Diceros bicornis minor: one gene and its partner. The protein of the gene in region 1 binds, or shares a complex with, the protein of each later gene. Links are inferred from orthologs where the notes say so. Each region holds a gene or a part of one and is shown on either strand. Other genes may lie near its edges.

Evidence for each region.
Region 2: the proteins of PRPF40A (region 1) and SF1 are in contact, whole or in part, in an NMR structure (PDB 8PXX), measured with the Homo sapiens proteins. The link is inferred for Diceros bicornis minor from reciprocal best matches to the Homo sapiens genes PRPF40A and SF1. Residues at the interface, in NP_001352526.1 of Homo sapiens: His164, Ser166, Tyr172, Tyr174, Ser181, Thr182, Trp183, Tyr213, Tyr215, Ser222, Arg223, Trp224; in NP_004621.2 of Homo sapiens: Pro575, Pro576, Leu577, Pro578, Pro579, Gly580, Ala581, Pro582, Pro586, Pro587, Pro588, Pro589, Pro590.

What each region holds. Positions count from the first base shown.
Region 1 is NC_080749.1:36,490,390-36,498,315, reverse strand, and holds the start of PRPF40A (pre-mRNA-processing factor 40 homolog A), read left to right. Parts: upstream 1-4,922; 5' UTR 4,923-5,206; coding exon 5,207-5,608; intron 5,609-6,733; coding exon 6,734-6,865; intron 6,866-7,926. Other genes in the region: ARL6IP6 (ADP-ribosylation factor-like protein 6-interacting protein 6), read right to left, coding at 1,993-2,046, 3,804-4,203.
Region 2 is NC_080770.1:8,309,407-8,317,220, forward strand, and holds the start of SF1 (splicing factor 1), read left to right. Parts: upstream 1-4,804; 5' UTR 4,805-5,122; coding exon 5,123-5,474; intron 5,475-6,820; coding exon 6,821-6,949; intron 6,950-7,814. UniProt on the Homo sapiens protein: Necessary for the ATP-dependent first step of spliceosome assembly. Binds to the intron branch point sequence (BPS) 5'-UACUAAC-3' of the pre-mRNA. May act as transcription repressor.

The DNA.
Region 1 (7,926 bases):
GACTTCAACAACAGTTTTTATTAAACATTCTGGATTGTTCTTTTCTGTGAAAACTTTTATATCAATTGTAAAAAGGTAAGATATAATTTAACAGGCATTTCTTGGGGAGTAAGCTAATGTAGCAATCTTTCTTGATATCTAAGTTAACAAAATCAGGGTTGATTTAGATGCAAGTCAAGGTTTGAGAGAACTGGCCTATCTTTAACCATCAGCTGTTGTAAGTGGACTATTCAGAGGCTAGTAGTCAATTCAAAACATTATTCAGTAAAGAGGTTAACTAGCATTTTTCTCCCCAACAGGAGAATTCCAGCTTAGGCCAATGAAGGGCAAGTGTTACCTCAGTCACCTCAAACCTTATAAGAGCTTAATCAACTCAATCACTGATTCTCTGAAACAGATTTTGAAGAATCTTATTCTCTTGCTAGAGAAGAGTATTCTCTATCACACGTTATAATGTATATTTGCTATAAATATAACTATGCTTACTTTAAAATTAATCCTCAGGAAACTGACTGAATAGTCCATTAGGTGATGCTGAATATATTCTCCATTTGACCAGTGGAGCATTAGTTCAAAATAAGGATCTTTGTTTTGCCATAACTACCGTTCAGTGGTTTTTTGCCATAAAGATACAGCGGTTTCTCCTCACTCCTGAGATTGTTCCCGAATCTTGAAAGTAAATTCATGTCACTAGCAAAGACTCAGATAATGATCTTCCTATTTGCTGTTATTGTATTAAGCATCTACCAAGTACACCTAAAAGCAATACCAGACTACTTAACTGGAAGTGGAAAAGGAAGCAGGGCAATGACAAAGCCCTATTATACGCCTTTTGATAACAAGCCATTCAAAAGCAGATAACAAATGCCACTCATTCTTTTCATAAATGTGAAATCTTGCCAACTTTTAAATAGCAAGTTAGAATTCATGCCTACTTCATAAGATTTTGTTTCTACTACATCAAGAGTTGACAGATCAATAAATGCTATGAAAAACCTCATAATCTTGGTTGTTTTTTAAGGATGAAACAGTATAACTACATACACTAATAAAATGAGTAAGTAAAAAGTACGTTTTCTCATGCAAGAAGTTGAGAAGAACGTAGACAAGTTTTCAAGGGATATCTAGCAAACTAATTTGTGTGCAATTTGAAGACAAACGTTTTCCTTTGTGCAAAATCAGTCAGACAATACTTTGTATCATCATGAGGGCATTAGCCTTGAAGAGGTAGTCTACACAGTTTAGTTAAGACTGGGGGAAGGGGTGACATGCAAGATAGGATCTCAAACTTTTTTTCCCCAATTTAGAGCAATCAATCAAATAATTATAGCAAATAGGAGTAAAATATGCCAGACAGGTAAAGTTCTGAACTCTTCTAAATCATTTTGGCGGAGAAATAAATACAAGATAAACAACCCTTCAATTTTTCACTAGAAACCTGTAAACTACAGCATGCTACAGTCTACAGAAAGTCTGACTCTTTCCTAGTCATCGTTAACCTGTGCAAGTATGCCTAATGCTTTTCAAATTTTTTTTTTACAAAAGAAGTTGCTTTTAAACAGATTTGAACTTAAATTTCTCCTAAGGTCTACTTAAGATGTTATCTTCGCCAAGTCTGTGAGAAAGTGTGTTTGTTTTTAATTCCTGGGAAGAGGCGTGGGGAGACTATTCCAGAAGGTAATTAGAAAACGTTAAATATTCTCTGGGTCTTAGTCACCCACAGTTGTATTCAAACTGTATTCCTAGTGTGTGTGGTATACCCACTCACACATCACATGCCATACATACATAAAAACAAAATCTAATAAAATTTACCACACACAGTAAGGTCTTTCAAGGTCTTTTCATTAGAAAGGTCTGCAAGATCAAGACTGAATCAAAAGCACAAGGGAATATATTAAGTATTTTATCTAAAATTTTGTAGAGTTTAAATACGATCTGGAAAAACAAAAGTGAGCTCAAAATCAAATCAAGTGACAATTAAGTCCATACCTAATAGCCCAGAGTCTACATCAGCTTCTTTCTTCAAATTCTCAGCATGTAATTCTGTAAATACAAAAAGGTGCTTGGGTAAAAAAGATGATTTTATAATTTGAAAAGTAGCTTAAAGGCTGGGAAGACACTGTAGAGTTGTGGAGAGTGCTTTGGAGTCAGCAACAACCAAGTTCAAATTCTGCTTCCATTTACCAGCTATGTGACCTCCAGTGAGCAAATAAGACATCTATATGAGTCAACTGCCAGGTATATAAAACAGGAATGTTTACTTCCTAATGTTGCTGTGAAGACATTTTTTCTTTTTTGCTGAGGAAGATTGGCCCTGAGCTAACATCTGTTGCCAATCTTTCTGTTTTTTTGCTTGAGAAAGAGTAAACCCTGAGCTAACATCTGTGCCAATCTTCCTCCACTTCATATGTGGGTCGCCACCATAGCACGGCTGACAAGTGGTGTAGGTCTGCACCTGGGATCTGAACCCCTGAATCTGGGCCACTGAAGTGGAACACGCCAAACTTAACCACTATGCCACCAGGCTGGCCCTTGTGAAGACATTTTATGTCATGCAAACTACAGCAGATACTAGGTTTTGAGTTCAGTTCCTTTCTCCATTCTCCAAAATAAGCAAGAATCCATGTCTTCTGCAATGGACTTCCACATACGAGGTTTTGTGACTTTATGATATAAAAGCAATCTCTCAGAGCAAAAGAGAAACTACCTATAAGATGAAACTCTTCTCAGAGGTGCAGTGAAAAAAAGAGGGGAGGGGACTGATAGGAATGAAACACTGGCACCCAAATATTTAACATTGACAGTTTACACCCAATACCCTTTTATGAAAAGGTACAACTTGCACATTAACTTGCCAATCTGACTTCTGCATGAAAACCAAGCATTACCAAGCTGTTAGAAGCCTTCTGCAGCCCACTAGCAGCTTGGAAACAATGAGGAAAAATAAAAACCAGAGCTAAACAGACTACTGAATAGTGAAGTAAGAGTAATACTTCAGTGACAACGCGTTGGGTGCTTTTCACACAACAAACTAAGGTAGTTTTTTTTGTTTGAATTTTTCTTTTTCAATAACTTGGCCAAAATCACATACGAGTGACAAATGAGATTTAAACTCATGTGTGATTCTTTCTACAGTAATATAAAATACCCAACCATACAATCCTTCTGTATAAGCTTTGGAAAACCTTTCAAGGCACATCTTTTCAGACACAGGAAAATAAAACTATTAATCAGAGAAAGAACAGACTACAGCTCCCACAATAGAGCTTTACCACTACACTAGGATGGGAACCCAAAATCGAGAGGGGCTAATTATTTTACCTATAAAAATAGAAACTTGGGCTGAATGGAAATCCTTGTCCTCCAGGAATTCTGTGTGTACATGGGAATCAGACGATAGCACATCTTTAATCATCTGTCCGTTAAAATCTTTGAACATGTATAGCCTATTTTAATTATCTACACACTTTTCACCATCTCTTTTTAATGATGGTTATTCTCCTTAATTTTGCCAGTATTTCATCTCAAGTGTTCGCCGACTTGAAGATACTGTTTCTTCAAGAGTACCCATTTAACTAAGACTTTCTTACAATAGGTCTCCTGATGATGTACCAGGGCCTTCCACCTTTAAGAAAAGAGAAAGCAAACGGGGAAGAGCCAAGAAAAGTGCTGATGAATACTTTAGGTGAAAGCGACTACCACCTCACCGGTCTTTGATGGGGAGGGGGGTGATGAAGGCGAGAGCCACGTCCAGGCTCAACTTTACTCTGGACAGCCTTTCAAGGCCGTAACTACAATACCTTTTACGATCAGGTAGGTGATGGCCAGGAGGAAGGCGAGGAGGATGGCGAACAGCAGCGAACACAGAATTGAGAGGACCTGGACCGGCCACCGCCGAGCCTGGGCTCGGCCGCCCGCCACCGCCGAGAAGATGCCATTGCGCTTATCGGGCAGCACCGGGGACCCATCCCCGTCCGGCGGGAGCAGCGAGCCCCTTCTAGGCTCCGACGACGCCCCGGCCGAGAACTCCGCCCGCAAGTCGCGGGCCACTTGGTCGCATCCCTCCTCCTCGTCGACCTGACCCTCACCCCAACCGTCCCCCTGAGAGAACGCGGAAAACGCCGGCCGAGCGACTGGGAAAGGAGTGCCCAGCCGGCGGCGCAGGGGAACCGAGGTCCTCCCGCTCTCTAAAAACGACATGGCGGGAAAGACGATACGGCGCGCGGAGGCCGAGCGTCTCCCATCCGCCCCGCCCCGCGCTCGCACAGCCAATCAACGGCCGGGGCCCCCCACGGCCTCCACCACCCTGCCCTGGCGCGCAGGGGTGCGCAAGGGTGCGCGGTAGGGCGGGGAAGGTGCCGTGAGGCCCGAAGAGAGACAGGGCGCCCCTGGGCCAGAGCTCGACCCCTTGGCAGTAGGAGGGAAGGAGAGCAGGAAAGCGCGCAGGGAGAGGCGAGCCGAGGCCCAAGACAGCCGAGTCTCCTCTCCCTGCAGTGCTTCGTCCCGGCCAAAGACCTTCGCCACCGCCGCGTCACCTCCAGGCAAGCGCGCGTCCCGCCAGCCCCAAAGCCGCATCTTCCCGACGCCCGGTCCTAGCGCCTGCCCGTGCACCTGTGATTCACATTCCCAAACCTATTTGCTTTCTCCCTTCTTCCCGGCTACGCTCGCACTCTTTTCCGCGTTCCCTACTTAACGGCAGCTCACCGCCCGGCGCTCTCGCCTCGCCTTAACTGCCCACCCCACTTTCCCCTTCGCCTTGTCCTCCCCACCCCTGCCACAACTTCCCTCCACGCAGCTCGACACGCCTCCTGCTCCCGCTCCGCCCCGGCGCGCGCTCTCCGGCTGGTGCGTACGGAGCTCGAACCCTCACCTCGCAACCCCTCCTCTCTCGCCCTCCCCGCCCCCTCCCCTTCGCCTCGAGCACCGCACGCGCGCATCCGGCCACCGCTAACGCTAGAAGCTGCTTATCCTACCCCCACCCCACCCGACCCTACCCCTGGCGGCCTCAGGTTTGTGGGTCGTACGTAACTTGGGCGGGGGGTGAAGGTGGCAGGCCCCACGGCCCCACCCCATACGGGGTGAGGCAGTCTAAGCTCGGGAAGCTGGGACACGGTTATCTTCCCTTCCCGGGGGGAAGTTGGTGGAGTTTTCCCGGCAGAGGACTCGGCGCAGAAACTTCCTCCGTCCCCTTCCCCCCCCCTCCATGCAGGCGACGCCGAGTGAGGCTGAGGCTGGGGGCGAATCGCCGCAGAGCTGCGTGTCGGCAGCTCACTCTGATTGGACAGCGGGGAAGCCTGTCAGCTTATTGGCCCCGCTGATCCCGCCCCGTAGCGCGGGGCAGCCTTTAACCTTTGGCCCCAGCGGGCGCCAGCCACTCAGATCGCTTCTTGTTGGTATGTGTAGCGGCAGTGGCCGCCGGCGGAGCAGTCTGAGCCCGACGATGAGGCCGGGGACGGGAGCCGAGCGTGGAGGCCTCATGGTGAGTGAAATGGAGAGCCATCCTCCCTCGCGGGGTCCCGGGGACGGGGAGCGGAGATTGTCCGGCTCAAGCCTCTGCTCCAGCTCTTGGGTCTCTGCTGACGGCTTCCTGAGGAGACGGCCCTCGGTAAGGGATCGGTGGGGCAGGGGGAAAGCGGCACAATGAAAAACGGAGTCAGAGAGACAGGAAGCTTTAACCAAAAGGAGAAGAAGATAAGAGTGGACGAAGGAAGAGCTCGCGATGGTGGGATATGTTCCGAGGGAGAGAAATGGAGGGCGGGGATGCACAAAGGGAAGGATGTGGGACCCTGGAAGTTCCTAGCGGGCTTGGCCTAGACAGATGCGCGGTGTAGGTGCTGGGCCCTGGGCGGGTTGAGCGTCTTGGAGAGGTAGGCCCGATTTAACAGGGAGGGGGAGGCGGAGACTTGATTCTGTAGACTTTAAGAGAGGCTGCCAAAATCTGTTTTCACCTGTAGTAGTGGTGTCTGCAGCGGAGGACAGCTGGGGGAATTGGCAGGGGATAATACCTGGTTTTAAGACCTGGAACAATGGACACACGAGTCAAGAAAGTAGTTGTCTTACAAAAGCGCATTGAAATGGGCAAATTAGTTGTTTGCATTTAGTGTCTTTGAATGACAGACCTCAATCTTTGAAAAAAATTTTTTTGGCAAAAGTAATTTTACCTGTGTTAGAGATTCTATTAGGAAATTGTGTTTATTTGTTAGGAGTGAAGTGTCTCTGGATACCCATACTGTTGTGTTTTATAATACCAACTGTCATCTGAGTTAATTTGGTAAATTCAGAGTTTTAAAGCTTAGTAAAAGTTTAGAAATAAGTTTAATATGTAGCGTTGTAAAATAACAGTAGGTGGCTATCTTCTGTCTGTGTGAAATAGGACAGAGTTGTGGTTTTTTACTGTAACAGTTTTTAAATTGGCTTTCACATACATTTCCTCCGAGCTTAGCAAGCAAGTTAGTAACTAAGTCAGTGTGCTTTAAAAATAAAAGCTACGATCTGCTGTCCACTAATGATTTTAATTTTTTCCATTTTGTTCTGGAATTTGGTCAGTTGCAAACCCATTATAAATACTAGTGTAGTGCAGTTTATTTAAGATGAGAAAGTATAAGCTAACCCAATAGTTGAATTACACAGCCTAATGTTATACCACTATACGTAACTGAATTATGGGAATCAGATTTTTGAGAAGCATTTATTGTTATTTGCTAATTTTTAAATTGTCCCTGTTTTTCAGATGGGGCACCCTGGCATGCATTATACCCCAATGGGAATGCACCCTATGGGTCAGAGAGCCAATATGCCTCCTGTACCTCATGGAATGATGCCGCAAATGATGCCCCCTATGGGAGGGCCGCCAATGGGACAAGTAAGAATGTTTTTGTTTTGTTTTGTATTTATTTGTTTATTTTTGCTTGTGGTATTATTGTGTCAAGATTTCAAAATCTGGGTCAATATTTGCAGCTGTTTAAGAATTAGTTTATGCCAGAATAACGTTTTCAAATAAGTCAAATGTTCAATCGTGACACTAACCAAATTTTGAATGTAATGAAAAGTCTTCTGTATAAAAGATTTACTTTCTACTGCAACAAAACTAAGAGGTTTTTTTTTTTTTTTAAGTTAACAGTGTACATCTAGGCTTTTTAGTTTAAAGACTTTCTTTCCCCCAAGTATGTCAATTGATGTTAATGTTCTAAGAGTAAATATTATCTGATAGGTCAACATAATTTATGTCGGTGGACCATGTAAATGCATAGAATCGGAAAATAGTAATTGTTTAGGCATTTGGCTTAGAATGAATTTTATTCCTGAAATAGCTTCCTCTTGTGTGTATGCGCGCGCGAGTGTGGTGGGGGTGGAGGTGGGGAGGTTCTATTCTAATTTGATTCTTCATAGCACAGTGCCAAATAAGTAGTTCATTTTCCACTTACACTATTTTGTTTGTTTTTTTAAATGCTTATTGCTTCTGCACTCCTGCTTTTGAGCTGTCCCTTCCATCTCCAGCATAAATTGTAAACGGACATTTTGTAGGAGTGATTTGGATCAAAAGGTTTTAATGCTGACTCAGTGAATTCAGTAGAACTGAGTTCCTAGAGAAGCATCCAAGAAAGGTAACAGGTTCAGTTACCATGAATAATTTTATATCCCCTGTTAGGGTCTATAATAAGAGTATGCTTTGGTGGCTGAGTTCTTTCCATTTGAGTATCTCAATAAATCATCAAAAATTTAGGCTAACAAAACATTTTGGAAAGCCAGTCAATTAGGTATGATCTTTCTGCTAATTAATACTGTTTACTTTGATAATTGTTTAAGCCTTGATGGTTTAAGTTATTGGTAAAATTGTAGTGGAGAAAGGAGCTTGCTCTGTCTCTCTCTCTACTTAACTTTAAGAGTAGACGGGCTTAATGTCAAGTGGTTTTCTTCCTTATA
Region 2 (7,814 bases), on another chromosome or scaffold:
TCTCCAAAGGCGGGACACTGAGCAGACAACCACGGATCTGCTCCCTCCAGTCTCAGCTAGCTGGGTGACACGACCTCTCAATCTTGCCTGCGGCTTGGGGCTTCTGAACTATCAGAGGTAGAGTTACAAGATGAAAACCGCCAGGGATTAGCAGGAAGGGGCTGAAACCTCTCCCCCTTTACATTCCAACACCAATTCTCTGACACCAACTGGATGTCCTACAGTTCAATTTGATTCTGACACCAACCACCCTGAGTCGGCAGACCCCACAGGTTAAGGAATTCAGCCACAAGTCCTGGGTCTTGTCTCCAGGTTACCCACACCTCTGTCCAACTTAGCTACAAATTCGGAGGTTCCCACAACTCCCCTCATGTTCAATAATTCGCCAGAATGAAACACAGAACTCAGGAAAGTGCTATATTATGCTTACCGTTTTAATATAAAGGATACAAATAAACAGCTAGATGAGGAGAGGCAGAGGGCAGCAAGGTCTGAAAGGGTCCTGAGCCCAGGAGCTTCTGTCCCTGTGGAGTCAGGGGACACCACCCTCCTGTCACATCAATATGTTCACCAACCCGGAAGCTCTCCGAATCTCACAGTTCAGAGTTTTTATTGAGGTTTTATTACACAGGCACTGTTGATTAAATCACTGGCCGTGTGACTGAATGCAATCTCCAGCCCCTGAAGTGGGGGGTGGGGCTGAAAGTTGGCTGGTTTTTCTGGTGACCAGCCAGCATCCTGAAGCTGTCACTGGGCCCTCAGAGCTGGCAATGAGTCACCCTGTTAGCTAACCTCAGGTATGGGCCAGAGGAGCTCCTCAGGAAAAATGAAAGACACTCCTATCGCTTAGGAAATCCCAAGGGTTTCTGAAGCTCTGTGCCAGGATCTGCGGACAAAGACCAGACATATATTTTTTATTGTACCGCACCCTTGTATAAGATCAGGAGGCATCTGCATCTGATATCTGTGTGTAATTCTTGCGCCTGCAGCTCAGGAGATGCCCCGTTAAAACCAACGTGCCCTCTCATCTCATTGAATCAGCACAGTACCCTGCAGACTAGCGTTAATATTAGTCTTCTACAGACCAACTGAGGCATGGAGAGATTAAATGCCTTCCCTAGCTGCCAGCTGGAGGATGGCTGGCCCCATAGGACTGCAACTTGCCTCAAAAATGGGAAGTTGGCTCAGTGGTCCTCAGCCAGAGAGCAGCACGGTCTGCATTCCAACCCTGTTCTGTCCACAGAGGAGTCTTGCACCAGCAGACTATCCTGGCAGACTGTGAGACCTTGCCGTGGGTAGTTCAGCTTTTTGTGGCTCAGTTTTCTCATCTATAAATTAGAGAGAATACTCATCTCCAAAAGTTGTGTGGGTGAAATGAGCTACTACGTGTACAAGAACTCAGAACAGAGCCTGGAGCAGCCAACATCCGAACTCTCCAGCCATTAATTTGTCCTTGGAACAGTTACAAAAATTGATCATATATTTAACCACAAAGAAAATCGTACTTTTTTGAAAAAGTAGAGATTTTTAAGGCCATCTTCTGCAAAATCTAACAAAAATAGGAATTAATAATAAAAAGATGACCAAAATATTTTAACTTGGTGATTAAAAAATACTCCCACAAAATCCTGGATAAAAGAGATTAAACTGAAATGACTACAAAGCAGTGACAATGCCTGCCCCCTGAGACAGTCCCAGCTGCAGCCTTCACCATTATTAGTACGGAGGTGTCATTATTAGCATTAACAGTACATTTCTCTTCGTGCATTTGTCTTTCTCCTTTGCTAGACTACGATTCTCTGGAAGGCAGGAACCGAATTTCATTTACGGTGGTAGCCACCAAGCTGGTCTGCACTCAGTAGCTGCTCAAACATTGGATGACTCTTTTCTTCCTGCCTCCATAGAATTTGTCGTATTTACTGAATAAATTAATTTTTCCTTCAAACAGATGATTTAAACATTTTATATTTTTCCTTTCTTGTCTACAATATTAGCTTAATATTTGGTATATAAATAACACTTGCTCAGTGTAAAAAATTAGAATAAATAGAAATGGGCGGAAAAAAAGTAAAAATTATCTGAGATCCCCTTACCATCGGAAATTTGGTGATTGTCCTGTCAATGCATTTCTTTATATCTATACAGTTATATATAATGTTGTTATAAATGGGACCATGTCACACATTTTTAAAAAGTATGAGGCACTTTTTTTTTTTTTTTTTTTGGTAAGGAAGATTGGCCCTGAGCTAACATCTGTGTCAATCTTCTACTTTATACGGGACACTGCCACAGCATGGCTTGACGAGCAGTGTGTATGTCTGTGCCCGGGATCTGAACCCACAAACCCTGAGCCATGGAAGCGGAGCGTGTGAACTTAACCACTACACCACCAGGTAGGCCCCTGAAGCACATTTATAAAATATGTTGGGCTCCTAAACTGTATTGGATAACGTCCAGGCACCCGTTTCCCTCTGCAATGTCTTCACTGATAATGTGCCATGTATCCTTCCACAGCTTTCTCTGCACTCACATAATCCTACGCAAACAAGCATGCACATATATGGGCTTTGTTTCTTCTACAAAAACAAGATCATGTAATACATATTTCTCTGCTTCTTTTCTCATTTAATAATAATACAGCACAGAAGTCCCTCTAGGTCAGTTAGTATGGATTAACTCCTTTTCAAGGTGCCTAATAAGCCAGGTTATGGATATTCCAGTTTGTTTGACCATTCACATATCAATGGAAATTCACTGTTTCCAGGTTTTTGCCATTACAAAGCTGCAGTAAATGCAGGAGACAACCTTGAACACGTTATATTATATAACCACACGCCTTGCCTTAGGGCAGAGTCCCACGAGTGGGACTGCTACATTGAAAAGGTTTTTTTATTTTTCCTGAAAGGGGTACAATTTTAATAGAAACAGAATGCTTTCCAAAAATGTTCACAGTAGTCAGTGTGAGTGCATTTGTTTTTTGCGATTTTGATGGTTATATAGAGTCCTCATTATCACCTAATTTTCCATTTCCCTTCTTGGGGGGTTGGTATCCTTTCATATTTTTTGGCTATTTGCATTTGCTCTTCCGAGACTCGCCTATTCATAGCCTTTGCTCATTTCCTATTGTTTTTGTCTTTTTTCTAATTAGTTTTTAAGACTTCTTTGCATATTATAGATATTAGCTCTTTATTGTACATGTGGCAAGCATATTTCCCTGATATATTACTGTCCGTTGGCTTTTATCACAGTTTTAGTTTCTTTGGTAATCAAGTATATCTCTTCCTTATAGTTTGGATTTCCTGTGTTGGGGTTCAGGACAGGCCACCCCAAAATATACCACTTTGGCATATTGATTATTTTGAATTGTTACTTAAGAGGCAGCCAGTGCCAAGAAGGACATGCTGACCTTCCTTTGCCCCCTGAAAGTAGGAAATAAATCTCCCATGTGAAATGTACCCTCCCTGTACCAGGAGGTAGAGAGACATCCTTATCACTAGAGATAGAGAATTAAGGGCAGAGAAGGCTATATAAACAAACCTTGTTACTTCTTTACTAATTTACTACCCCAAGCCCAGACTTCTTTGTCTTGTTAATTCTTCACAGATTTACTGTTTCTTTGTCTAAAAGGTATAACAGCTGTGCACTTTGGACACTTCTTTGGGTATCATATTCTCCCACCTTACATAATTATAATTGTTTTTCTCCTGTTAATGTGTCCTGTTAACTTGATCAGATCAGCCAGACAACCAAGAAGGGTAGAAGAAAAATTTTTCCTTCCCTACACTTGTCTTCATAAAGTCTCTACCCCTAGATGACCCCGATAGTCTCCTAAATTGTATTCCACGTCTGTTTTATTTAGATTTAGGACTGTTACCATTTACCAACTGAATCTTTTCCTTACTGAACTGAAACACCATCTTTGTGGTATTCCTACATATATACGGGGAATCTATTTCCGTCCTCTATTCAGTTGTGCTAATCTTTCCTGCATCACATTGTTTGTTTACTGCGTCTTTTATTCTGCATTATCCAGAAAGGCAAGCTCCTCCTCAACTGTGTGTACAAGTTTCTCCACGACTTTCATAGTTATTATTTTATATGATTTTGAGATGATTTAACCTCAACCTCGATAAGATTTTAATGGAAATACATTGTGAACTAATCTTGGAATTGACACTTTATATTGTTTTCCGCCTAAGATTACGCGTTCTTCCATCGGCTCAGATATCGTTTTTAATCCTTCAATAAGACTATAGGTTTTTTCCTTCAGTTCTTATCCTTTTCAAAGAAAACAGGAAGTCCCTTTTACCTGCGGCGTCAACGGACCCGCTTCACGGGCGCGCGCCAGCCCCTCCCCCCTCGCCGGTTCCGGGTTACCATGGCAATCGAGGATTGACGTCACTTGGCGCTTCCGTGCCGGACCGGGGGTCGACCGTGAAGCTAGGGGCGGAGAGGCGGTGCTGACCCAACTACGCATGCGCGCTCCGACTCGACTCCTCCCCCGCCCTAAATCTCGTTCGGCCAGGGCTTTTCCGCCGCGACCTCTCGCTTAATCCCAGCGAAAGTGCTCCCCGGGGGAGGGGTGTAGAAAAAGGATCCAACCAGCGACAGCCAATCCCATGACACTACGACGCAACTGAGCATGGTTGACTCTATCCACTGCAGCCAATGAGAGCGCGCTTGGTCCCGACGTCACAGAGTTTGCCCGCCCTCTCCCCTCCTTTCTGGCCTCCGAGCTTAGTCCGCGCAGTAACAAATGAAGTGCGCGCTGCGACACCTCCCCGCTGGCCGGGCTCGGCCGCCATTTCCTCGCCTGGCCTAACGGTCCGGCCAATCCCAGGGTGCAGCGAGGAGGACTAAGGCTCCGCCAATCGGAGGGCGCCGACTCCGACCCCCTCGCCTCGGCCCGGCCCAATCCAGGCCCCGGCCCCGCCGCCCCCGGCCCGCCCCCGCGGCGCCCTCTCTCCTCCCTCTTTGTGCGTCTCGCGCCGCCGCCGCCGCCCGCCGCGTGAGAGGACGGACTCCGCGCGCTCCGCGGCAGCGCAGTCGGGTCTCCTCCCCCCGGAAGATTCGCGAAGGAGCCGCCGAGAAGGAGCCGCCGGTGCCGGTCCCTGGGGGCGCCATGGCGACCGGAGCGAACGCCACGCCGCTGGGTAAGCTGGGCCCCCCCGGCCTCCCTCCCGTCCCCGCGCCCCAAGGGGGCTTCGAGCCGGGGCCCCCGCCTGCCCCCGGGCCTGGGGCGGGGCTGCTGGTGCCCGGGCCGCCGCCGCGCCGGCCCGTGGGCTCGGCGGGGGCCCTGACCGCGGCCTTCCCCTTCGCGGCACTGCCGCCGCCGCCGCCCCCCCCGCCGCCCCAGCAGCCGCCGCCGCCGCCTTCCCCGGGCTCCGCGTACCCGCCGCCGCTCTACCAGCGCGTGTCGCCGCCGCAGCCGCCGCGTCAGAACCAGCAGCCGGGCCCGGCCGGCGGCGGAGGAGGTGAGTCGGGCCGAGAGAGCGCGAGAGGCGTCGCGCGGACGGGCCCGGCCGGCTGAGGGGCGCGCGCGGCGGCGGCGGCGACGGCGGCGGCTGCTGTTGCACGCGGCAGGGGCGCGCGCGCGCACGCACGGGGAGGCCCGGGCGGAGGCGCCACGGGGCGCGCGGCCTGGGGCTCGGGCCACGAGTGCGCACGCGCTCGGGAGGAGGGGGCACAGGGCGGGCGGACGTTTGCTGTGCGCATGCGCAATGTGGCTGCTTAGGCTTTGCGGGCCCGACTAAAAGCGGCGGCGGCGGGGGGGGGACGGGCCTTGTTGCTCTCCAGCCGCTGGTGTAGGGGAGCGGTGTGGAGAGGGTCGAGTGGGTGGACGGGGTGCTGGGGGTGCATGTCAGCAGGGAGTGAAAGGGTCAAGTGATGACGTGGAACATCTCCTTTCTGGCTGTAGAGGAGGCAGAAAAGAAGGAAAGTGTTAAAAATAGTCCGTCTTTTACAGTAAGGCAGGGATTTCAGTGCGGAGAACGAGAGAGGATGGAAGTCTTCAGGGAGTGGTTGGTCCGATCTTTTGTGGCCGTTTTTTAGGGAGGGACTCCTGTGTTTCGTTCTGATCTCCTTTCATTTCCCTTAGACAAGTCTGGTCCGCCTCCTCCTCGTAGTTGCTGGGGCTTTCCTCTCGGGAAGTAGAACGACTTTTGTGCACCAGATGTGTAGGGAGTTTCTGCCTATGTATGGGGGAAGGAGGATTTTGTTACTATTGCATCGCTTGTTCCCTGTTGAACGAGGAGTTCAGACACAAAGTTTCCAAACTGGCCAGGAAAATTGCTTATCTGCGCTAAACTTAAGAAAATAAGTGATGTTATTGAAGAGTGGGGCTTTTTCACTTAGTAACCGTAGGTTTAGTTGTGTTGTGGCCCATTTAGAAAGGTTGCTGGTGGGGAGGTGGAGGTGGGAGGAGCCAGCAGTCTGCCGATGTTGCTTTACGAACTTGCCTGTGGTGATTCAATCTACTCTTGTCTCCCCTGGGGCTTTTAAGGCATGATGTAGCGTATGTCTTCGAAACATTTTATTTCACTATCGGAAATTATGCGATAAGATTTGTTTACATACTTTACAGCGTTTTTCTGGACAAAAATTATAAATGTGAAATGTTAACCTTTTGGACCCAGGTCCAGGTCTGCTTATAGTGGTGTGTGTCTCAGGTTTGACTTGTGTACTTTGCCATTTAAGTTTTAGGTCAAGTTCTCAGTTTCAGAGCCTGCTGAACTTGTAACGTTATAAGTATCCTGAACTACGTGTTGGTAGTTACTGTGTTGATTTATGTTTGTGTCTCATGGTCTGTATCTCCCTTTAGACTTCCCGAGTAAGAAGCGGAAGAGGAGCCGCTGGAACCAGGACACAATGGAACAAAAGACAGTGATTCCAGGAATGCCTACAGTTATCCCCCCTGGACTTACTCGGGAACAAGAAAGAGCTTATATAGGTAAATACACGTTCTGCATCCAGATGCATTTTCGGGTTGTTACTGTTTATTCTGAGCAGTGTTTTTATCTGTTGCAAGCCTGAGATTGTGAAGTTTTCTTTTTTGAGATGAGGTGTGGTCAGGTGTACTTTCTTTGACATAATTCGTCAGTTTTTGCTCAGTGAGTCCTGCACTTGCAGCTCCTTGTTTGGTCTGTTCATAACAGCAGTGTTCTCCATGAGTGCCAGGAAGGTAGAGGGGCCCATTTAGGGTAACACTAGTCCCCAGTCCACAGCCCACCCCATCCTTTTCAGCTGCTGCTCACTGCCAGTTGATGAGGTGAGTGTCTTATGCCTCTCTGGACATGGCCCCAGTGGAGAACACTGCAAGTATTGTAAACCAAGAACCTTTTTCACAGCATGGCCTCTCACCATAATTTCATATTTCTCCCTCCCCCTAAAACGTGATTTTTTACTTTTTATAGGTACTTTCTGAAGGGAAAAAAAAAACCTCAGTTTAATCAAAAAGTGGTTCTGAAAGTGTGTTTACAGTTCACCCCCTTTTACCATTTGGTTGAATCTAACCTTCCCTTCAGCATCTTTTCTGTTTTGGTCTTTGGAGAGCTGTCTTAAAATGAGGGCTCTTGTATTTACTATTAAAGAACTCTGCTGGGAAATGGATACTGCTTGGAAATGGAATGAAGTGGTAGGATAAAAATCTTAACTGTTGGGAAATTTCAGGAATTAAGAATGGCTGTCCACAGTGGAATCCGAAGTTAACCTTAAAATTACCTTTTTTTAAAATACAAGGTTTTTAATGTAAGTTTTACCTTTATTTACGTACCTGTGCAGCTGTCTCAAAAATTCACTTGATAAGCATTTCCTAC